3 linked regions of the Macaca fascicularis genome follow. Each later gene encodes a partner of the first gene's protein in a complex. Links are inferred from orthologs where the notes say so. Each region holds a gene or a part of one and is shown on either strand. Other genes may lie near its edges. The genes, in order: SRRM2, SNRPD3 and RNF113A.

The links.
Region 2: SRRM2 (region 1) and SNRPD3 share a complex: the UniProt entries of both Homo sapiens proteins name them as parts of the minor spliceosome. The link is inferred for Macaca fascicularis from reciprocal best matches to the Homo sapiens genes SRRM2 and SNRPD3.
Region 3: SRRM2 (region 1) and RNF113A share a complex: the UniProt entries of both Homo sapiens proteins name them as parts of the minor spliceosome. The link is inferred for Macaca fascicularis from reciprocal best matches to the Homo sapiens genes SRRM2 and RNF113A.

Annotation. Positions count from the first base shown.
Region 1 is NC_088394.1:3,614,408-3,622,083, reverse strand, and holds the start of SRRM2 (serine/arginine repetitive matrix protein 2), read left to right. Parts: upstream 1-2,833; 5' UTR 2,834-3,043; exon of another isoform or gene 3,044-3,051; intron 3,052-6,565; 5' UTR 6,566-6,597; coding exon 6,598-6,839; intron 6,840-7,676. UniProt on the Homo sapiens protein: Required for pre-mRNA splicing as component of the spliceosome. As a component of the minor spliceosome, involved in the splicing of U12-type introns in pre-mRNAs.
Region 2 is NC_088384.1:28,878,158-28,885,833, reverse strand, and holds the start of SNRPD3 (small nuclear ribonucleoprotein Sm D3), read left to right. Parts: upstream 1-3,305; 5' UTR 3,306-3,394; intron 3,395-4,986; 5' UTR 4,987-5,004; coding exon 5,005-5,130; intron 5,131-7,676. Other genes in the region: protein GUCD1, read right to left, coding at 2,268-2,310. UniProt on the Homo sapiens protein: Plays a role in pre-mRNA splicing as a core component of the spliceosomal U1, U2, U4 and U5 small nuclear ribonucleoproteins (snRNPs), the building blocks of the spliceosome.
Region 3 is NC_088395.1:126,231,290-126,238,013, reverse strand, and holds RNF113A (E3 ubiquitin-protein ligase RNF113A), read left to right. Parts: upstream 1-3,332; 5' UTR 3,333-3,438; coding exon 3,439-4,473; 3' UTR 4,474-4,530; downstream 4,531-6,724. Other genes in the region: NDUFA1 (NADH dehydrogenase [ubiquinone] 1 alpha subcomplex subunit 1), read right to left, coding at 1,666-1,755, 3,039-3,140. UniProt on the Homo sapiens protein: Required for pre-mRNA splicing as component of the spliceosome. As a component of the minor spliceosome, involved in the splicing of U12-type introns in pre-mRNAs. E3 ubiquitin-protein ligase that catalyzes the transfer of ubiquitin onto target proteins.

The sequences.
Region 1 (7,676 bases):
AGAAGTTTGCATTTCAGGAACATTACTCCGAGGTGACAGCCACTAGGATGTCAACGATGGCTGTCTCTGGGGGTGGTGCCCCTGTGCGCTTTTTTTCTTTTTGCTGATCTGTGTGTTTTCTGCAGTGAACGTAGTTTACCTGTGCATGTCACTTTCCTAGGGCTGCCATAACAAGTCACCACGAACTTGGTGGCTTCAAACCAAAAAAGTGTGTTCCCCCACAGCTCTGGGGGCCAGAAGGCGGAGACCAAGGTGTGGACAGGGCTGTGCCCCCTCTGAAAGCTCTGGGAGAGGATCTGCAGGGCCTCTTCCAGCTTCTGGCTCCTCCTGGAGATCCCTGGCATGGGCACCGCTCCAATCTCTGCCTGGGTCTCCTACGGCCTCTTTCCCCGGGTGCCTGTGTTCTCTTGTCTTCTTGTAAGAATGTCACTCATTGGATTTAGGACCTACCCTAAATTCATGATGATTTCATCTTCAGATCTTTAACTCAACTATATTTGCAAAATCCCTTATTCCAAATAAGGTCACCTTCTGAGTATCTAGGTGGTTGTGAAGTTTTGGGGCACCACCATCCACTGCACTACAATGAATAATACAAATAAAATTTAAAGGGAAATTAAAAAATCATTCTAGGGCTGGGTGCCATGGCTCACACCTGTAACCCCAGCACTTTGGGAGGGTAAGGCAGGAGGATAGTTTGAGACCAGGAGTTCGAGACCAGCCTGAGCAACACAGGGAGACACAATCTCTACAAAAAACTACACCCACCTCTATCAAAAATACAAAAATTAGCTGGGCGGTGGAGTGCACCTGTAATCCCAGCTAATTGGGAGGCTGAGGCACAAGAATTGTAGTGCGTGGAGATCGTGCCACTGCACTCCAGCCCGGGTTAGGAGTGAGACTCTGTCCCCCCCAAAAAAAAAAAAAATAGAGAAAAGACACGAAGAGAAATTTCTTCAAAGATGCACAAATGGCCAACAAGCACATGAAAAGATTCTCAGCATCATCAGCCATTAGGATACTGCAAACCATGTTTTGTCACTATTCACGGGCATTAAATGTGCTGATGCACGCACGAAACAGTTCATAAAGGTATCAGTGGGGGTACAGGAAAGGGTCTCATTGGAGGTACTGGGGTCTTTAACCAGTAAGGCAAAGCCTTTGCCACTTTGCTATGCCACTCCCAAGGTGCGCCCGGCTTACAGAAGCACCGTCCACAGATGCAGAGTTCAAGCACTCAAACCAGCGATCAGAGCTCCTGCAGGAGTTGGGGGTGGAGGGGGGAGGGTCTCCCGGCTCCAGCATCTGAGATGAGTAGATCCTCCCACGGGCAAGTGAAAAACAAAAGTTAAAGCCGGATGTGGGCCGGGCGTGGTGGCTCACGCCTGTAATATCAGCACTTTGGGAGGCTGAGGAGAGCAGATCACCTGAGGTCAGGAAACTGAGACAAGCCTGGCCAATATAGTGAAACCCCGTCTTTACTAAAATTTACAAAAATTAGCCGGGCGTGGTGTCACACGCCTGAATTCCCAGCTACTCGGGAGACTGAGGCAGGAGAATCACTTGAACCGGGGAGACAAAGGTTGCATTTAGCCGAGATCACGCCGTTGCACTCCTGCCTGGGTGACAAGAGTAAAACCACGTCAAAAAAAAAGAAACAAAAAAACAATTGCCAGATAGGGTGTTGTGCACGGCTAGTCCCAGCTACTTGGGAGGCTGAGGTCGGAGGATCGCTTGAGCTCCAAATTCGAGAACAGCCTGGGCAAGACCCTGCCTCTTAAAATCACGCCCAAATCGTAGTATCAAATATAAATCTTTGCACTCAAACGGACAGTTCATTACGTGGCACCGAGTCCTGTTGCGGATCAAGGCCACCTGAGTTGGTTAGGACAGCTAAGCCCACGTCTTGGGCTGCTCGCCAGCGGTGGGGCTAGATATGACCTTGTGCCCGAGCAGCCCAGCGTCTTACAACTCTGCTGTGAGGGACGGGGGCTGATTATCAGGTCCAGAATCACGAGTTTAGAAACATTAACAGGAAGTACGGTACCGAAAAGTGGAAAACTTTAAGGTGCTTATTATTTTTCTCCTGACTTGTTCCTGCATGTGCCGCTCCACGGGTATGACGTCCCGGGTCCGGTGGGACCCTGGCCTGGCTGCCCTACCGGAAGCGAAGCGAACTCCACCCCCAGGGGCAGCCGTCGGGCCTCAGTCCAGTCTACATCGGGAGAGCGTGGCCCATGCCACAGGCAGCTGGTTGGGCCCCTGGCACAAGTCTAGGGCCTGCAGCCAGGCTCGGGGGCTCCGGGGGTGCCCGCTGGCTGGGGTCTGAGGCGGCTTCTCTCGGGTACGAGAAGGCCGACTGCTGTGCAGCCGCGGGCTCGCTCGGGAAACCCACACTTACACAAAAGCGGCAGCACCACTGTGCCTAGGCTATCGACTCCCAACATGGGGAGACAAAATGGCCGCCGCGCCCAGAGCCGAAATTACATCCGGGCTCCGCGACACGTACGAACCACAACTCCCAGAATGCTCTGCCTCGACGGCGGGAGGCGAGACGCGCTCGGGCCCCGCTTAGGTGGCGCTAGGCCCTGTGGCTCCTCCCTGCAGCGGAAGGCCTCCGAATACGCGGCGTGTTAGGTCGATTCCTCCATTCTTCGTTGCACTGGCCAACGGGACGCTTAGTCTTTTGGCAACAGGGTGAAACCTGCCTTGTGCCTGAAGAAACGATACTTCCCGTTGTGGTTTCGGCGCCTGCGCAAAAGGCTGCGGGACGCACTCCAGTTCCCGGCAAGCCCCGCGACGCGCGTTTGCGTGCTGACGCACGGAGTTAGTCGTGCTGACGTGCATCGCGGCCCAGGCGGGGTACGAGTGGCGCAGTCGGAGCCCGCTGCGGCCCCTGAGGAAGCCAGGAGGCGTCGGCGTCGGCTGAGGCGGGCGGACCGGCGAGGCGAGGCGGCGGCCTCAGGCCCCGAGGGACTCGGGAGCTCGCGCAGCGGCGGCGGCAAGACCTCTCCCCCTCGGAGGCGGCGGGCGGAGGCGGCGGGTGAGAGGGTGAGGGAGCCAGCGAGCCGGGTGGGGGAGGGGCGGCGGCCTCGGCGCGAGGCCAAAGCGCGCGGAGAACGGCCCAGGCCGCCGAGCTCTTCCGCGCGCACGCGCGCTCGCCGCCCTTCGCTGGCGCGGACACCTTCGCCTCCCTTCCCCCTTCCCGCCGTTCCTGTCGCGCGCGGGCTTCGACCCCCCCGTCCCTCCCCCATGACAACGGCGCTCGCAGCCGCCTGTACTGGGGTTCGCGAGCGCCCTTGGCGAGGGGGGAGCGCGCCGCCTCGGCTTCACTCCTCCCCACCACACGTGCGGCCGAGGGGCCTTCCCGCAGCTGCCGCTTTCGGCCCTTAAGTGACGGGGAAGGGGCGGCGGCGGGGGACGTGCTCCCGGACCCTTGCCCCAGGCTCTCGATCTCTTGTTCTCGGGCTTCTCTTCAGCGTTGGGCTGCCCGTGCCAGGGGCCTCCCAGACTGCGGGACGCCGCGCAGCCCCCTCCCCCATTCTGCAAGGCCGAAAATAGGCCCCCGGCGCTGCGAGGAGGGCCTTGAACTCCGTGGGCCCGGTTTAAATGGTTTGGACTGTGCTATCAAGCCTTTGAGTTGTTAGTGGCGGGGAGAAACCCCAGATCTTAAAAATTGTGAAGAAAGTGAAGGCATTCAGTTTACATTTGTAAGGTAGACTGTTCCTTTTTTTCTTACACTTTTTTAACATTTCCCGAGAATTCGTGTTAAAACTAAGGAGGCTTCTGGAGACCTTCGTTGGGAAGAAAACGCCAGACTCGTATATAAGTTTTCTGGTTGGTTTCAGGCGTTATTTGGCACACAGCTCTTCTGAAGCTTGGTTTCCACTCGCCTTCAGTTAGGACGAATCTGGATCAAAATTTCAGAATGTTTTGTTGCCTTTCATCCTAAGTGCGTGGGCTTAGGGCTCTTCTAAAGCTACTATTTTAGTTTTCTGGGTTCTTTGTGTCCACTCAGCCGCGCTGGAGCGCCCCGGTGCTGAGCTGGCTGTGCTTCCTGAGGTCCATTTTCTTGGACAACCCTTGTGTCCCCTTTTGGTACCGTTTCCTTTTTTGCATATTTTAATGTTGAATTTAAGGATATCTTTCTACTTCCTTGTTAGCTTGGCACTCTGATAGTTTCCCAACAGAAAAGGGTCTTTTTGTCTTTCTTTGTACCTTTTATTTTCTGCTTTTACCTTGGTTAACTTTTGCATATCCGCTGTCTATGGCCCCCACTTTAAGAGTTTTATAAAATCGTTTGGTTTGGTGATTTGTGTGTGGTGTCGATGTTCCTACTTTCCGTGTCTTAGCACCCCCTTAGATGCTGTGGGGTCGTCGTCTTTTTTTGTGAGGTAGGGGTGGCTCATTCCCTAAAAGTTCTCCGAAACATTGTGACCTAATATCCTTTGCTTAGCACCTACTGGTTTTCCTTTTTTTTCTTTTTTTTTTCTTTTTTTTTTTTTTTTTGAGACGGAGTCTAGCTCTGTTGCCAGTCTGGAGTGCAGTGGCGCGATCTCAGCTCACTGCAACCCTCCGCCTCCCGGGTTCAAGCGATTCTTCTGCCTCAGCCTACAGCCTACGGAGTGGCTGGGATTACAGGCACGCGCCGCCCCCCAGCTAATTTTTGTATTTTTAATAGAGACTGGGTTTCACCATGTTGGCCAGGCTAGTGTCAATCTCCTGACTTGGTAATCTGCCCACCTCGGCCTCCCAAAGTGCTGGCATTACAGGCGTGAGCCACCTTACTCGGCCTGGGTTTCCCTTCGGTTTTCCCTTCTTAGGGAGTGGGAGGATTTTTGTGTGAGGTGGTATGGAAGTGTGGGTGAATGGTTGAGCTGAAGAATTAATTGCAGGTCAAAGACATGCCTGCAAGGGAAGCAGAAATTTGGTGGGGTAGGGAGAGGCAAAGAAGGACCTAGTTTTAAACTGTGGGGAGGATTGGAACTAGAAGATGAAAATGAGGATTGGGGTGTAGAGAAATTGATTTTTTGAGTCATAATGTTTTTCATTTTTTCCTGGATTTTTGCTTGCCTTTTCCAGGTTTAGTTTCCTCTGTCACCTTCTACTTTCGATATTGGGTCTGCTACTGGGATTGGGTAGGGACCCATCCTTAGTCTAGGGTGAGGAGGTATGGGCTAGCACCCTTCTATATACTCTGTGTGCGTGCATGCACTAGTATATTTTTCCAAACATTTGTATGATGCTTCTTCATTCTGGAATTTTCTAAATGCATCCTTCCCTTTTATCCAGTTCTTTTACGTCTTTGATCACTCTCTCCACTTTGTCTATTCCATAGGGTTTTTTCTGGGTAGTTTTTCCTCATACGTGTATGTTCTAGGAAACTATCTTGGAGAGGATGAGGATGAGAAAGAGAGTATGTGTAGCCAAGGAATCTCACTAGAAAAGCTGGGACTTGAGAATTTTTCAGAGTCACATCAGGGTTGGGACTAGTTGAAAGGCTAGAACTTGGGACGAGGCATGGGGTTAACACAGGAAAGAAGGAAGCGGCAGGGCTGGGAGAAAAAAAACTAGGAAGTGCTATCCAGGGGATTGGTGGGGAAGGCCAACAGTTGGAGATTAATGAAAGTGGGGTGTAGAGAGGGTTTCTAGATAGATTTAGAGCAAGGAATATGGAGAAGGTATGGGAACGGTTGGAACAGAGACTGATTTGATGTGTTTAAATAGAGCAGAGTTGAAAGCAGATAATATTTGACAGCTGGCAAGACTTGGAGGAACTGCAAATTGTAGTAAATCCTATTGAGAGGAAAGAAATTGGAGGAATTGGAGGAATAAAAGATCAGGATGGTTGATAGGATCTTTAAATATTTGGAATCAAGGAAATGGCCCTTACCTGGGAGGTGAAGTGTATGAAGATTATCCAAGGTTCATGTGTGTTTCTGATGTGCGTGCTGACCTTTAGTTGGGGTGTGAGGCTGCACATTCTGAACCAAGTAGTCTGCTGTTCAGATACCTAGGGACTGTGTAGTTTATTTCGTATTCATATAGGGTGGTCTGAAATCCGTAGGTCAGTTTTTGGGAGAGTCTTTGGACATGGACTAGAGGCCCTTGGGTGCCACAGATCTATGTCTGGTATTTGTTGTGCCTTGGTTGGTTACTAGAGGTTAGAAAGTAGAGTAGTTGGTAAGATGCTCCTTGTGCATTTTGGGGCCAAAGGAAAATGAAAAGGGACAGTGTGGAGAGATTTTAGAGGAACAAGATCCTTGTTTGCCTAGGGTGGAAAAAGAAGAAAATCTAGGTGCAGGGAGGGATTATTTAGAATTCTGTGCAAGGGCATTGAGAGAAAGGTTGTAAGAACTGGGCTGTGATTTGGTAGGAAATTTGGAAGGACGAAGAAGTGGTTTTTTTGGCAGACCAGGAGGATGGTGGAGCGTTATATAGTGAAGACTTAGTGTGAAGATAAATGTTGAAATAGGGATGAAGGAGAGCAGGGACTTGGGTGTGGGGTGGTAAGTGGTTAGTTTGGGGCCAGGGGCCTGACCCGTGTCTCCCCGCTCCCCCTCAGGAGCGGTGGTGCCCCCCCCCGGGCACGGGGCCATGTACAACGGGATCGGGCTGCCGACGCCCCGGGGCAGCGGCACCAACGGCTACGTCCAGCGCAACCTGTCCCTGGTGCGGGGCCGCCGGGGTGAGCGGCCTGACTACAAGGGAGAGGAGGAACTGCGGCGCCTGGAGGCTGCCCTGGTGAAGCGGCCTAATCCTGACATCCTGGACCACGAGCGCAAGCGGCGCGTCGAGCTGCGATGCCTCGAGCTGGAGGAGATGATGGAAGAGCAGGGGTGAGGGAGAGCTGGGGGAGAGTCAAGCACTGAATGAGTGCAGAGCTGGGGGTGTTAGGTGGGATGTAGGGAGCTTAGGGTGGTTGAAAGAGTCCTGGCAAGGAGTTGTGGTAGGGGAGGAGGCAAATGAGCTCTAGAGAATTGAAAACAGTTAAGGGACAGTGCAGAGTGGGAAATGAGAAGGCTGTGTGTCTGAGGCATAGATGGGAGCCTGAGGGATTAAATGGAGGCACATGGGAGAAGGGAGGGGCCGTTGAGGAACAAAAATGTGTTTCAGGGGAGAGATGGGAAAGCAGAGACCAGATAGAGGAGCTAGGTAAGCTGATAGGTGTTGTCATTGGTAGAAAAGAAGAAGAATGGATATAAGGATTGAGACCTTGGAAAGTAGCATGGGCAGGAAAAGAGGAATTAGAAGAACATTTGAAGAGGGAATCATGGGCTGGGAAGGGAAATTTTGGAAAAGGAGCACATTAAGGCAGAAAACTTTTAGAGCAGTGGTTTTAAACTTCAGCAGTGGTGACCCTTTTATACAGTATCCCTCACTTTGGAATCCCAGGAAATAAAAGGCACGTTCTTGTTGAAGTTGGGGAGGAGCACTTGAAACCCTGCTTGCTTAATTTTTTTCTTTTGGCCCCTGAAGTGTAGCATATTTAAAATCCACTGTTCTAGCGGGAGTAGTAGGTAGAGGGAAGAAAGATAATGGGAAAAGATTAGACTGAAGAGAAGGAACTTTTGGGTGACAGCGAGTGAAAACTTCTGTGTGTGCATGGAGAGGGAAGGGCCCCTTTTGGGAATGAGGGAAATGGAAACCTGGGACTGGGGAAAGTGTCCTGTCAA
Region 2 (7,676 bases), on another chromosome or scaffold:
CCAGAACGTTGGGAGGCCAAGGCAGGCAGATCACTTGAGGTCAGAAGTTTGAGACCAGCCTGGCCAACATAGTGAAACCCCGTCTCTACTAAAAATACAAACATTAGCCGGGTGTGATGGCCAGAGCCTGTTATCCTAGCTACTTGGGAGGCTGAGGCAGGAGAAGTGCTTGAACCCGGGAGGTGGAGGTTGCAGTGAGCCAAGATTACGCCACTGCACTCCAGCCTGGGCAACAGCGAGACTCCATCTCATTAAAAAAAAAAAAAAAAAAAAAAAAAGAACTTGAAACAGGGTCTCACTCTGTCGCGCAGGCTGGAGTGCAGTGGTGTGACCAGAGCTCACTGCAGCCCTGAACTCCCAGGCTCAAGGGATCCTCTGACCTCAGCCACCTGAGTAGCTGGAACTATGGGCACACACTACCACACCCAGATAATTTTTAAATTTTTTTTGTAGAGATGGGGTCCCATTATGCTGCCCAGGTTGGTCTCAAACTCCTGGGCTCAAGCAATCCTCCTGCCTTGGCCTCTCAAAGTCCTGGGATTACAGGGGTGAGCTACTACTGTGCCAGGTCAGAAGAAATGAACTTACTAAGCACTCACTGTTTGCTAGGCTCTGGGGACACAAAGGTGACTAAAAACCCACCTAAGCCCTAACTCCTAGGGACTCATAAAATGCTGAGCAGTGGGAGAGCTCTGCTTTCCTCTATCGCACAAAATGAGAATTCTTCAGTGGCAGATGGAGACGAGGTTGCATTTGCCTCCTTCCAGCCCTCAGCCCAGAGCAGGCACTTAGATATGCTTGGGGAATGGAAGGCATTTTCCAAAAAGACCTCATACCTTGAGATGCCCAGGCCTACTTGCCACTTCACTGCTCTGCACCCCTCTTCCCCCAGGCGTCCAGACTACAGCCTTCTGTGTGAGGTTCCCTCCTTACTCTGTGGCTTGAGCTGTGACACTGACTAGCTGAGCTATCTTCTGCCAGGCTGTGACTCTGTCCATGCCTTTCCGTGTCCAGCTGTAAAATGTGGCACAGGACAGCAGCTCTCTCTCAGAGACTCAGCTGCCCCTCCTCCTCTTGCCCTGCAATCGAGAACTCCTTGATCCTGAGGCCTGGCAGGCCCCATAGGGCCATCTCCAGTCTTGGCAAGGGCAGATGGGACCTAGAGATGCTCATGTTGGGGGAGATAATGTTAGGCGAGGCCTTGGCATTTGTCCCCGTAACAGCTTTAGCCTTCTGAACACAAAGTCACAGCCAGATGTTGCTGCCTGGAGCCAAGGGGCTGCCTGGAAGGCCCTGGTCTGACCTCAGTTAGTGGTTGTCACTAAGGAAGGCAGGTAGTGTGCTAGCCTTGAATACTTAACCCATCTCAGACTCAGTCTGGTCAGCTGAAAAAGTGCAAATCACAGTGGGCACCTACTTCACTGGGTCGTTATCAGGATTAATGAGGCACTGCATGTAAACAACTGCGCACAGCGCCTGCCTGCCTCATAGAAAGGTCCCTGTGAATGTAAGCCTTTCCTCCTCTGAGGCTCAGGAAAGGCAAGTATCTTGTCTCAGATCACAGGGCTAGACAACTGGAGGAGGAGGGATGTAAATCCCCCCCCACTCCACACAGCAAACACAAAAGAGAACACTCCCTGGGAGTGACACCTGAAGGTCAGGGTCCCACATGTTGTTGACCTCTCCCACAGTTGGCACTTCACTTGAGAGTTTACTAGCTAGCACTCCGTTCCTCACCAACCCTGCGCCTTCAGCAGGACAGGAATCACGTCTTCCCCCTCCCCTACCTCTTGGGCAAGCAAACTAACTGCCAAGACACTGAAAACCAGTCCGAGTCTCCGCCCCAAAGGGGCTCAGGCTACCGCGTGGCAGAGGGAACCAGAGGGGGAAGAACAGGAGCAAGACAAAACGCCGACTCTGGGAGGCCAGAGCACCGGCCCTTTCATTACTCGGTGCTCTCGGCCAGTTTCCTGCCCTTCCCAGCCTCAGTCCTCCACGGTTCCCCAAGGCACGAGAGCTCCCAAGGCGGCTCCAGTAGGACTTTTCGCTTCTGGGGAAGGTGGCGCCCCTTCTACCCGGACCCTCCCACCATGCGGACAAGGGTCGCAATCCTGCCAGTGTCAGGAAACCCCCACTGACTGGAGCGAGGCGGGTGTGGGGGTGAGGCGGGAGTCGGCCCAAGGTCGCGCGGCTGGACCCTGCCCCGCGCTAGGGCGGGGTCCCCTTCGTTCCTAGGGTGAAGACTGGGCCCACAGAGAGGCACTGACCGGGCTCGAGCGGCGGCCCCGCTGCCTCCGCCTCCGTCCTCATGACCCGGGCGGCGCGGGGCGCCCATGGCCCCGGCCCAGAGCGGGCTACAGCTTCCGCTTCGGCTGGGGCGGTAGGGCGGTCGGTGCGTGTCGAGTTCCTTCTCCGCCACCGCCGCCGCTGCGGAGGGGAGAACCGGAGGCGGTGGCTGGGCCGCCCCAAGCCCCGCCCCAGCCCTTCCAGGTCTCGAATCTGGAGGCCCCGCCCTTTCTCTAAGCCCCGCCCCAAACTTTGATCCTAGAGGCCCCCAGCCTCCCGATTTAAATCTGCCCCGGCCATTCACCGCCTCAGCGTCGAGTGACCCAGCCCTCTCGTCCAATCCTCGCGCAGCCGCGAAGCCCAACAAGACGCGGACCCGGAAGCTCCGCCCCTTTCCTTGAGCCCCGCCCCAAAGCCCGTGCATTTCGTGAACAGAGGCTCCTCCCTTCAGCAAGCCCCGCCTCTGCCGGGGCCCGCTCCTTTGCCAGTCTTAGCTGTAAACCCTGGTCCGGCCCAGTGTATTCCGGAGGCTCCAAACAACTCTCCTTAAACTGCCTTTAGGGATGACCCTGAGCCGGCCTCCTCTCTACTCTATACCTAACTTTATCCGTACGAGATACGTAGCCTCACTCAGGGCGCCCCTTACCTGGCGGTGCTGGGATCAAAAAATTAAATTGTGAGGGGAAGTCCTGGCCCTTGGCCCAACCTCCTGCTGCCCCCGGTCTGAGGGCCCAGGCCCCGAGTCTCCGCCTTGCCGTCCAGCCTGTCCTTGGTGTGGGGCGCTTGGAAGTGCAAGCACCCTCTCTGGCTCTTTGCCGGCCCCAAGGGTCGTTGTTTGCGGCGGTCCCCGGGCCCAGTCTTCGGCCCTCTTTTCCGGTGCCGGAACTATCGTACTGGTGCCTTAGTTTCCCAGCCGGCACGCGGGGTGAGGAGGAAGCGGAGGCGACACCGCTCTCACCACTGGGGAAAGGAAGGAGGCGGGCCCTGCGCGCAGCATTTTGGGAACGAGTGGAATTCTGGGAGCTGGGCCCGCCATTCTCTTGATTCACGCCTTCGCCGTAGCGGCTTTCGCCGTGCACCGAAGAGAAGGAAAAGTAGGCCAGAACCGGTGAGGCTGGGGACGGGCGAGGGGAGGTCGAGGTGCCTGTGAGGGGCCGGGGGCTGGAGAAAGACTCAATGCATGAACTCTGCGGGATTCGGGGAGGGAAGAAAGCGGGAAGTTTGGACCACCCAAACATCAGCGTCGCCTCACTAGCGCCTGGAAGTAAGTTCATTAGCTGCTCCCTCAATGTGCATGCTTCTTACATTCTGTATCTCTCCAGGTGAGTGTTTTTCAAAGTTTCCAGGCAGTAATCTTGAAGTTATTTCCTATGAGTTTTTTGAATCTTGAAGTCAAATCCTATGAGGGTTTTTTTTTTTTTTTTTTTTAAAGTAGAGACGGTTTCACCATGTTACCCTGGCTGGTCTCGAACTCCTGGGCTCAAGGGATCCACCGGCTTCGTCCTTCAAAAGTGTTGGGACTACGGGCGTGAGCCATCGCGCCCAGCCGGTCATTTTTTAAAAAGTTCTTTGCATGTCTGCCCCCAGCTCCCTTTCAGGCAGTGGTCCCGTCATGCTTTCCACACTGTTGCAGCAGTTTTAACTGTTGCAGAAATTTTAACAAGTTTCTCTGCTTCTAAACCTTACGTTAGATCCATTTTGTAAATAAATGCTGCTACCTTTTCATTGTGTCATTCTTTACCTATAATTTTGCAGTGGTTCCCCACTATCTTCAGCATAAAATCTAGGCTCCTAAGGCTGAAAGCCAGGGATCCTCACCAAAGGAGCCTGTCTTTTCAACCTCATGTTCTCCTGTCTTAGGTGCACTTAGGTTCCAACTTTGAGTCGTCGCTCATGTCAATAAAAAGTTCACTACTTGATGCTTTTAATTAGGTCAAGTCAGGTGCTTTCCCTTATTTTCCTCCATGACGGGCATTTCCTGCATATAGCACGTTGTCACTTCGATATTTTCTCAATATCCTTGATGGTAAAGTAAGGGAAGGGTTAAAGAGCTGCATTAAAAGTACAGTCTCCTCTCCTAGATATGCATGGTCCTTAGGTCTGTATCTGCTCCTTCCGTAGGGTAGCCACCAGCTACATGTAGCTGTTGAGCACTTGGAATATGGCCACTGGGATTGAGGGACTGGGTTTTTTATTTTAATTCTATTGTGTTTTAGTTAAGTTTAATTTAAATAGCTACATGTGGACATGAGCTACTGTATTGGACAGCTCAGGCCTGTGTTATGATTCTCAAAATATAATAATCTACAATTAAGGGTTGACAAATAACAGTGCAACAGATTAACATTCCAATCCCCCTCCCCTACACACACAGTATTCGCTAATGGTCCTTTAGCTGAAGATTAAGGGACATAGGGTAGCAGGGACACATGGTCGATGGGAGATGCTCTCTTTTCATTCCTATTTTTACTTCTGTCCACCCCACCATTCCTCCTCACCCGACATCTTGCACATATTTGCCAGATAGTTTCCTCCAAGCCAGGAGCTGAGCTTTCTTTTTTCTTTTTCTTTGATAGAAAATGCAGCTTTGGCGTTTTTGCTAAGTTTTATGGAGTGCCAGGCCTTGAAGGAGGCATGACGTGTGCCGCATGCCTTCTCAGACTCTGAAAGATGAACTGACTGTTGTCTCTTTCACTGTAGAGCTCTCTTCCTGCCAAGATGTCTATTGGTGTGCCAATTAAAGTGCTGCACGAGGCCGAGGGCCACATTGTGACATGTGAGACGAACACCGGTGAGGTATATCGGGGGAAGCTCATTGAAGCAGAGGACAACATGAACTGCCAGGTATTCTGCTTTGCATGTGAGGCTGTGTGGGAGGAATGGCCCTGTGTCTTGAAGGACAGAAAGGTGTGGGTTGGGGGTCTTCTGTAAATTGTTCTCATTCAGCAATGATTTCCTGAGTGCCTAACACATACCAGTCAGGTGCTGTTATAGGCTCTGGGGATGTGGGCATGAACAAAACACATAGTCTTGAGGCAGAAAAGCCATTTGGAGATTTGGAATATTTTACTTCGCCTTTTTTGTTTTTTCCATCCCCAAATTTGGGGACCTGTTTGGGAGAAGTTCCTTCAGTAGAATCCTTCAGGTTCAGAGCCATTATCCATTTGCCTCCACTTGCTTTGCAGTTAGGAGAATCTTCTCACATACTGTGTTTGTTTCCCTTTTCTCTTGGAGGAGGAGTCTCATTTGATTATTGCAACTACCTTGTGAGGTAAGCAGGTTTGGTGGTAGTCTTGTCATCCATAAAATAGGGAGAATGAGATTAAAGGACTCATCACTCTGATAGTAAATAATGGAGTAGTTTCTTGATACGGTGTCCTTCTCATGGCGCAGCTTTGCCTTTTGCATAGTCATCTGAATTTTTATAGCATTGTTTTTCAGTTGTATCTTCACACTTTCTTTGTTCTTTAAACCATTGGTTAAGAACTTGGACTTGGGAGTCAGAGAGAGATGTGGGTTTGATTCCTAATTATATGACCTTAGATGTATTAATCACTCAGTTTTCTCATCTGTAAAACGGGAGTGTTATTATTTTGGGTTCTTTGATGTAGATGCCAAGACAGAATTATGCAAGGTATTTATTGGGGGAAATGACAATAAAGGATAAAGGAACAAGGAAACAGTAGTAGGCAGGGAAATTTTCAGTCCGTGATGCTGGTCTGACTGGTGAAACGAGAGGGGAAAGAAGGAGGATTGAGCAGGAAGAACCTTAGACTACAGTGTAGTTTTGAGGAAGTCTCAGCAAGGCAGTGATTGCTCATTAGAAGAGTCTAACATGGGGCAGAAATGGGCAGACTGGCACCCCTGGTGTGTTCATTCCATTGGCTGGCAGCCTGGGGAGACAGCCTCTCTCCCCAAGTTGAATGCCATGGTGGACTGCAAAGATGGAGATTGTCGGCTGCCTTCACTCCTCATAGCCTGTTTTCTTTTGGAGGGAGATCTGAGCAGCACACCCTTAAGACTGCCACAGGGATAATATCCACACCCCCAGGACTTTTACAAAGATCAGATGAGCTATATGTGTGCAATAGCTGCTCGGTGCCTCACATACTGTAAGTGTTCAACGTATGGTGTTTACTGCTTTTTTCCAGATGAGAAGGTCAGAGAGGTAAAGCGTCTTACACCACGGTCAGGTATCCTGACCATCTATTGGTTTGCGCCATTCATTTATTTGTGATTTTTCTGTAGCTTTGAGCGTCTATCATCTTCCTGCGAGGTTGACAAGCTTGGTCAGTTCCCTGGATGCAGAGAAGTAGACCTCTGGTGACTCAGGTTTATTGCATCATTGTCAATAGATCAGTTTATCTATTGACAGTAGATAGGTTTATCATCTCTCTTTCATATATCCAGACCTCTGGCTTAAGGCATGCTCATCCACTTTAAGGTACTTTAATTTGGTAAGGAGAATGCAGGACTTGGGTTAGTGAATCTTAATGGGTTTGTCATCTAGCTATATGTATTTGGACAACCTGCTGGGTTTCCAGGGCCTTTGTCATCCCATCCATAACATGAAGGTGTCTAACCAGATAACCTCGGTGGCCATTCAGAGATGCAGTCCACGTGACACAAAGTGCACAGAACTTGGAGTCAGACAGACCTGGAATCAGCTTGCAGCCTGCCACCTAGGGTGACTTGGGGTGAGCTTTGGACCTCCTTCGTCCTCTGGTCCCTCTTCTAAGTCAGGGATAAAAATAGCTCCTTGGCTTCAGAAGGAACCATAGTGCGGAAGAAATGAGTAGATGCATGTCACATGCCTGACCAATGGTGGGGGGGCAGCCACCTGCCTCCCTGCTTGTATTTGTATGCTAGTGCTGCCAATAACAAAGTTTCACAGATTGGGCAGCTTAGACAACACAAATTTGTTTTCTCCTAGATCTGAAGGCTGGAAGTCTGAGATCAAGGTGTTGGCAAGGCTGATTTCTTCTGAGGGATGTGAAGGAAGGATCTGTTCCAGGCCTCTCTCCTTACTTATAGATGGCTCTCTTCTCCCTGTGTCTTCACTTGGTCTTCACTCTGTAGTGTTTCTGTCTAGATCTCTTCTTATAAGGATACCAGGCATGTAGAAATAGGGCCCACTCTAATGACTTTTCTTAACATAAAGTTTTTTTTTAAATAAAGTTTTTTTTTTTTTTTTTTTTTTTTTTGAGATGGAGCCTTGCTCTGTCGCCCAGGCTGGAGTGCAGTGGCGCGATCTTGGCTCACTGCAACCTCCGCCTTCCAGGTTCAAGCGATTCTCCTGCCTCAGCCTCCCAAGTAGCTGAGACTACAGGCACCTGCCACCATGTCAGCTAATTTTTGTATTTTTAGTAGAGACGGGTTTCACCATATTG
Region 3 (6,724 bases), on another chromosome or scaffold:
TCCCAGCTACTCGGAGGCTGAGGCAGGAGAATGGCGTGAACCTGGGAGGCAGAGCTTGCAGTGAGCCGAGATCGCACCACTGCACTCCAGCGTGGGTGACAAAGCAAGACTCCGTCTCAAAAAAAAAAAAAGTAAACATTTTAAAAGAATTATGAGAATGAACTACTCCTACAAAATATAAAAACATACTATTAGGGCCAGGAATAGGGGCTCACACCTGTAATCCTAACACTTTGAAAGGCTGAGGTGGGTGGATCACTTGAGGTCAGGAGTTAGGAAACCAGCCTGACCAATATGGTGAAACTCTGTCTCTACCAAAAAATACAAAAAAAAAAAAAAAAAAAAAGCTGGGCATGGTGGCGGGTGCCTGTAATCCCAGCTACTCAGGAGGCTGAGGCACAAGAATCGCTTGAACCTGGCAGGTGGGGGTTGCAGTGAGCCAAGATTGCACCACTGCACTCCAGACTGGGTGACAGAGTGAGACCTTGTCTCAAAAAAAAAAAAGAAAAAAAAAAACATACGATTAGGTCAAACCTTATGAAAATGCTACTGCTTGATCGTTTTTGACCTACAAAAATGGCAATGCCATAACTGAATCAAATATAAAAGTATAGTAATTCTTTAAATGAGGTCTTGTTGCAGGAATAGGCAGACCTAGAGTACAGAAAAGCACATCTGTGAAACAGGCCCATGTGTATATGGAAATTTAGTATACCAGAGTGGTATTACAAATAAAAATGAACTGGGTGTTTGGTGGGGGTTTTTTTTTTTTTTGAAACAGGCTCTCATTCTCTCACCCAGGCTGGAGTGCAGTGGTACGATCCTACCACACTGCAGCCTCGAACCCCTGGGCTCAGGCTATCCTCCTGCCTCAGCCTTCTGAGTAGCTAGGACTACTAAATTGTTCTATAAATGGGTAATTGCGATAACTAGCTACCTCTTGAAAAAAAGTAAAGTTAATCCTCCCTTCACATTATACTCCAAAATGACCTGTAGATGGGACCAAATAACTAATTTTTTTTAAAGAAACAATATTAGGAGAAATTATTTTTTAAAACTAATTTTATGAGCCAGGTATAGTGGCACACCTGTAGTCCCAGCTCCTCTGAAGGCTGAGGCAAGATCACTTGAGCCTATGAGTTTGAGGCCAGCCAGGGCAACACAGCAAGACTGTCTCTATTTTATTTTTTGAACGTATTTTTATAACCTTAGGTAGAAAAGGCCTTTGTATGGGAGACATAAAAACTCAGAATGCAGAGCAACAAAACATGATAAATTGAATATCAAAATTTAAAACTACCTGATGAAAAACATCATAAAGTGAAAAAGACAAACAGCAGACTGGGAAAAATGTTTGTCATATATAAAATAGACAAAAAATTAAAAGTCTAGAATATATAAAGAACTATAGATTGAAAAGAAAAAAGACAAAACAATAGAACAGGCAAAGGATATAGGCAACAATCCACAGAATAAGAAATATATGACAGTAAGAAAAACTAAAAAAAATAAGAAACATAAAAGATTAAATATGTAAAAAGATGCCAACCTCACTAGTAGACAAGAAAATGCTAGTTATATATTAGCATTGTATGACCCTTGGCAAGGCATTACCAGAACCCACCTCAACCCTGGCAGAAGGCTGGCATCAGAGTGGCTTCTTACCTTTGACACATAGTGACGATTAACTCCAGAGATGCGCCTATCTCTTTCCATCAGATTCCAGTGATACCCAAAATGAGCAATCCTTTTTTCCTTCAAATAAGAGACAATTATTGTTGCAGTTTATAAAAGTGAGTGACCCAGTTGATGGATATTACAATTTTTAGAAGGGACATTCTAGAGAAATGGAATCATCATTCAAATAAAAATGCAAATTAGTAGTACAAGAACAGAATCTCCTAAATAAAATCAGACCACTACACTTTAGGATTAAGTTGGTGACCGTGACTTCTTACACTATTTTAACCAACATGAATTTTTTTTCCTTTTTAAAAAAAAGAAAAAAAAAAGAAATATCTAGTTGTTGCCTTTTGGGACACTAAGAAACAACAGCTGTAGATCACACGTGGACAATCACAAATTCAAAAAGTAAGTAAATTTATACTCTGTACTCTAGAGATGATGTGAAGGGCTAAGAGGGGAAAATGAATCCTGATGTAAAACACAAGACCTTGCAGTAAATTCCTAAACGCTTGCAAGAGAAAGTGGGGAATAAAAAAGTCAAGGGTGGCCGGGAGCGGCGGCTCACGCCTGTAATCCCAGCACTTTGGGAGGTCAAGGCGGGTGGATCACCTGAGGTCAGAAGTTCGAGACCAGCCTCGCCAACATGATGAAACCCCCGTCTCTACCAAAATAAATAAATAAATAGCCGGGCGTGGTCCCGGCTACTCAGGAGGGTGAGGCAGGAAAAATTTTTTTTTTTTTTTTTGAGACGGAGTTTCGCCCTTGTTGCCCAGGCTGGAGTGCAGTGTCGCGATCTCGGCTCACTGCAACCTCCGCCTCCTGGGTTCAAGCGATTCTCCTGCCTCAGCCTCCCGAGTAGCTGGGATTACAGGCATGCGCCACCACGCCCCACTAATTTTGTATTTTTAGTAGAGATGGGGTTTCCCCATGTTGGTCAGGCTGGTATCGAACTCCCGACCTCAGGTGATCCGCCCGCCTCGGTCTCCCAAAGTGCTGGGATTACAGGCGTGAGCCACCGCGCTCAGCCAGGAGAATCTCTTGAACCCGGAAGGCGGAGGTTGCAGTGAGGGATTCTCAGGCTTGAGCCACCTCTTCTAATCTACCTTTCCGGCCCCCGCGTCGCTACTCTGCCCTAAGGCCCACTTTGATACACCCAGAAACGCTGTTTTTCACCAGAGCAGGATGTGGTTTCTACCGCGCTTCGTTTCGCAAGCCTCGGCTTCTAGGCAACCGGAAGAAAGTAGAGGGCCGGCCTCGGAGAGAGGGTCCGCAGGCTGACGGCCTCTCTGCCCACCATCCTTTTCAGAAATCAGCCAGTGGAGTCAGCCCCCGGGCCCAGGAAGCCGCCTTACCTTGCCCCCGTTAGTGAACCTCTGGATGTACGCAGTAGCCAGTCCTGGAATAAGCAAGCACACGCCCATGGCGGCGAGTCCGGGGAGAATCTCGAACCACATCTCTGCCCCGTTATCTAGGCCAAAACCCTACTTCTGGGTCCTTGAAAGGTGACCGGGCTTCGGCTCCCTTCCCAGTAAGCCCCGCGGCCGCCCGCGAGCGGGGCGGTGCCACGTACGGCTCCGGAGGAAGCGACGGGATCTGCCAGGGCTCAAGAGAGGCTGGCGCTCGCGCTCTCGCAGTTCTCTTCCGTCAGTGTCTTTTGCTTCGACTCCCGGCGGAGCGCGCGACGTGGAGTAACGCGCAGAGGCCAAGTGCAACCCAGGCAGCGACGGCCGTTTCGGAGCTCGGGACTCTAAAATGGCAGAGCAGTTTTCTCCAGGGAAGACGGCGGATCAGGTGTGCACCTTCCTTTTCAAAAAGCCTGGGCGGAAAGGGGCTGCTGGACGCAGAAAGCGCCCGGCCTGCGACCCAGAGCCCGGAGACAGCGGCAGCAGTAGCGACGAAGGCTGCACTGTGGTTCGACCGGAAAAGAAGCGGGCGACTCACAATCCAATGATACAGAAGACTCGTGACAGTGGTAAACAGAAGGCAGCTTACGGCGACTTGAGCAGCGAGGAGGAGGAGGAAAATGAGCCCGAGAGTCTCGGCGTGGTTTATAAATCCACCCGCTCGGCGAAACCCGTGGGACCAGAGGATATGGGGGCGACAGCTGTCTATGAGCTGGACACAGAGAAAGAGCGCGATGCACAAGCCATCTTTGAGCGCAGCCAGAAGATCCAGGAGGAGCTGAGGGGCAAGGAGGATGACAAGATCTATCGGGGAATCAACAATTATCAGAAATACATGAAGCCCAAGGATACGTCTATGGGCAATGCCTCTTCCGGGATGGTGAGGAAGGGCCCCATCCGAGCGCCCGAGCATCTACGTGCCACCGTGCGCTGGGATTACCAGCCCGACATCTGTAAGGACTACAAAGAGACTGGCTTCTGCGGCTTCGGAGACAGCTGCAAATTCCTCCATGACCGTTCAGATTACAAGCATGGGTGGCAGATCGAACGTGAGCTTGATGAGGGTCGCTATGGTGTCTATGAGGATGAAAACTATGAAGTGGGAAGCGATGATGAGGAAATACCATTCAAGTGTTTCATCTGTCGCCAGAGCTTCCAAAACCCAGTTGTCACCAAGTGCAGGCATTATTTCTGCGAGAGCTGTGCACTGCAGCATTTCCGCACCACCCCGCGCTGTTATGTCTGTGACCAGCAGACCAATGGCGTCTTCAATCCAGCGAAAGAATTGATTGCTAAACTAGAGAAGCATCGAGCTACAGGAGAGGGTGGTGGTGCTTCCGACTTGCCAGAAGACCCCGATGAGGATCCAATTCCCGTTACTTAGCTGTCTGATAATTCTTAAATTTAAATAATAAATATTTTGTTCTTTTGGAAGTCTTAATTCGTGTCCTTCCTTTGTAGAGACAGTGACAGAGAAGGCGGGTGGTGAAGTAGGGTCCTGGATTAAAAACCTCAAGGTAGGTATAATCAGGATTTTTAGCCCTAGGATAACCATTTTGCCTGTGTTTCTTTTCAGAACACTTTGGCATCAATTATAGGGGTGGGAGTAGTTTGAGAAAAGAGCTATAATTTGCTTGAAGTAGCCAAAGCTATGACGAAAGTAAGAACTCTGAGCCTGTTTATCATATCACATTTCTGTATCACTTAATAGTTTACAAAGTACTTTCATGCATTCTTTCTCTTGGGAGCCTGTACTACAAAATATACCGGAGCCAAGGTGTTGGGGAGAGGGGTTGCGTTTGGGGAATTGGTAGCTAGTACCACAGGCTTCACATATGGGAAATGTTCCTTGCTGTCTGGGTTATTTATTTATTTATTTATTTATGAGACGGAGTCTCGCTCTGTTGTCCAGGCTGGAGTGCAATGGCGCGATCTCAGCTCACTGCAACCTCCGCCTCCCGGGTTCAAGCGATTCCCCTGCCTCAGCCTCCCGCGTAGCTGAGACTACAGGCGCTTGCCACCACGCCCAGCTAACTTTTTGTATTTTTAGTAGAGACGGGGTTTCACCATATTAGCCAGGATGGTCTTCATCGCCTGAACTCGTGATCCGCCCACCTCGGCATCCGCCCACCTAGGCCTCCCAAAGTGCTGGGATCACAGGCGTGAGCCACCGCACCCGGCTCCCTTGCTGTCTTGGAAGCAGCTATAGTTAACCCCCTCTTCCATGGATGATAAAAGTATCTGTGCTCAGCTATCCAAGTGTGATAGACACTAGCCTCATGTGACTGTTGAGTACTTGAAATGTGGCTGACCACTGTATTGGACATTGCTATTGTAGACTGAACTTGTGAACCTGCAAAGGGCAAAAACATAGTATTTTATCATCCATTACCTGAAACTATCTGTGTTCTCACAGTCTCTGTAATAGTGTTGATCACACCTTATTAAAATTAGTGGATGTACCTGTCTTTCCAACTGGTTTATGAACTCGGTGACTAGCCTAGTGCTTGGCATATAATAAGCACTTAATAAATAAGCCTGGAGAGGTTTAAAAAGGGAGATTGGGGCCAAAGCCTTGAATCCAAGCTGAGGAGCACTGACTGTATTCTGTAGGCAGTGGGGGAGATAGCAGAGGTTTGGGAAGAGAACACAATCAGACGGGGTTTTTTGTTTGTTTTAGTGTTACTGTGGTTGCGGCTATAGGATGGATCACAAGGGAGATGGAAGACAAGAGGCAGGGAGGCCAGTTAGGCCAAATGATTAGTAAATTTTTATTGATATGGCTAGAATTTGGGCTAATCCCAAGAAACAGATGCAAGAATAAATTCTGGGTTAGTGGTTTTTATTCACATTCATTAATCCGTTTAAAGACATCCTTTTTTTTTTTTTTTTTTTTTAAGACAGAGTCTTGCTCTGTCATCCAGGCTGGAGTGCAGTGGTGCAATCTCGGCTCATTGCAACCTCTGCCTCCCAGGTTCAAGCGATTCTCCTGCCTCAGCCTCCTGAGTAGCTGGGACTATAGAAGTGCATCACCACACCCAGATAATTTTTGTATTTTTAGTAGAGACAGGGTTTCACCATATTGGTCAGGCTGGTCTTGAACTCCTGACCTCGTGATCCGCCCGCCTCGGCCTCCCAAAGTGCTGGGATTACATGCATGAGCCACCGCACCCAGCTTAAAGATATTATTTGAGTAGCTACTCTATCAGGCACTGTGCTTGGCATGGGGGATATTAGCAGTGAACAAGACAGACACAGCCCCTGCCCTCATGGAGCTGGACATTCAATAATGACTTTGTTTGTTTTTGAGACAGTCTCGCTGTGCCACCCAGGCTGGAGTGCAGTGGCATGATCTCAGCTCACTGTAACCTCCGCCTCCCAGGTTCAAGCAATTCTGCCTCAGCCTCCCGAGCTGATCTCGAACTCCTGACCTCATGTGATCCGCCTGCCTGGGCCTCCCAAAGTGCTGGGATTACAGGGGTGAGCCACCGCACCCTGCCTGTTTTGTTTCTTTTAATTTCAAATAGAATCTCCCTATGTTGCCCAAGCCCATCTCAAACTCCTGGCTTCAAGCAATCCTCCCACCTCAGCTTCCCAGCATGCTGGGATTACAGGTGTGAGCCACCATACCTGGC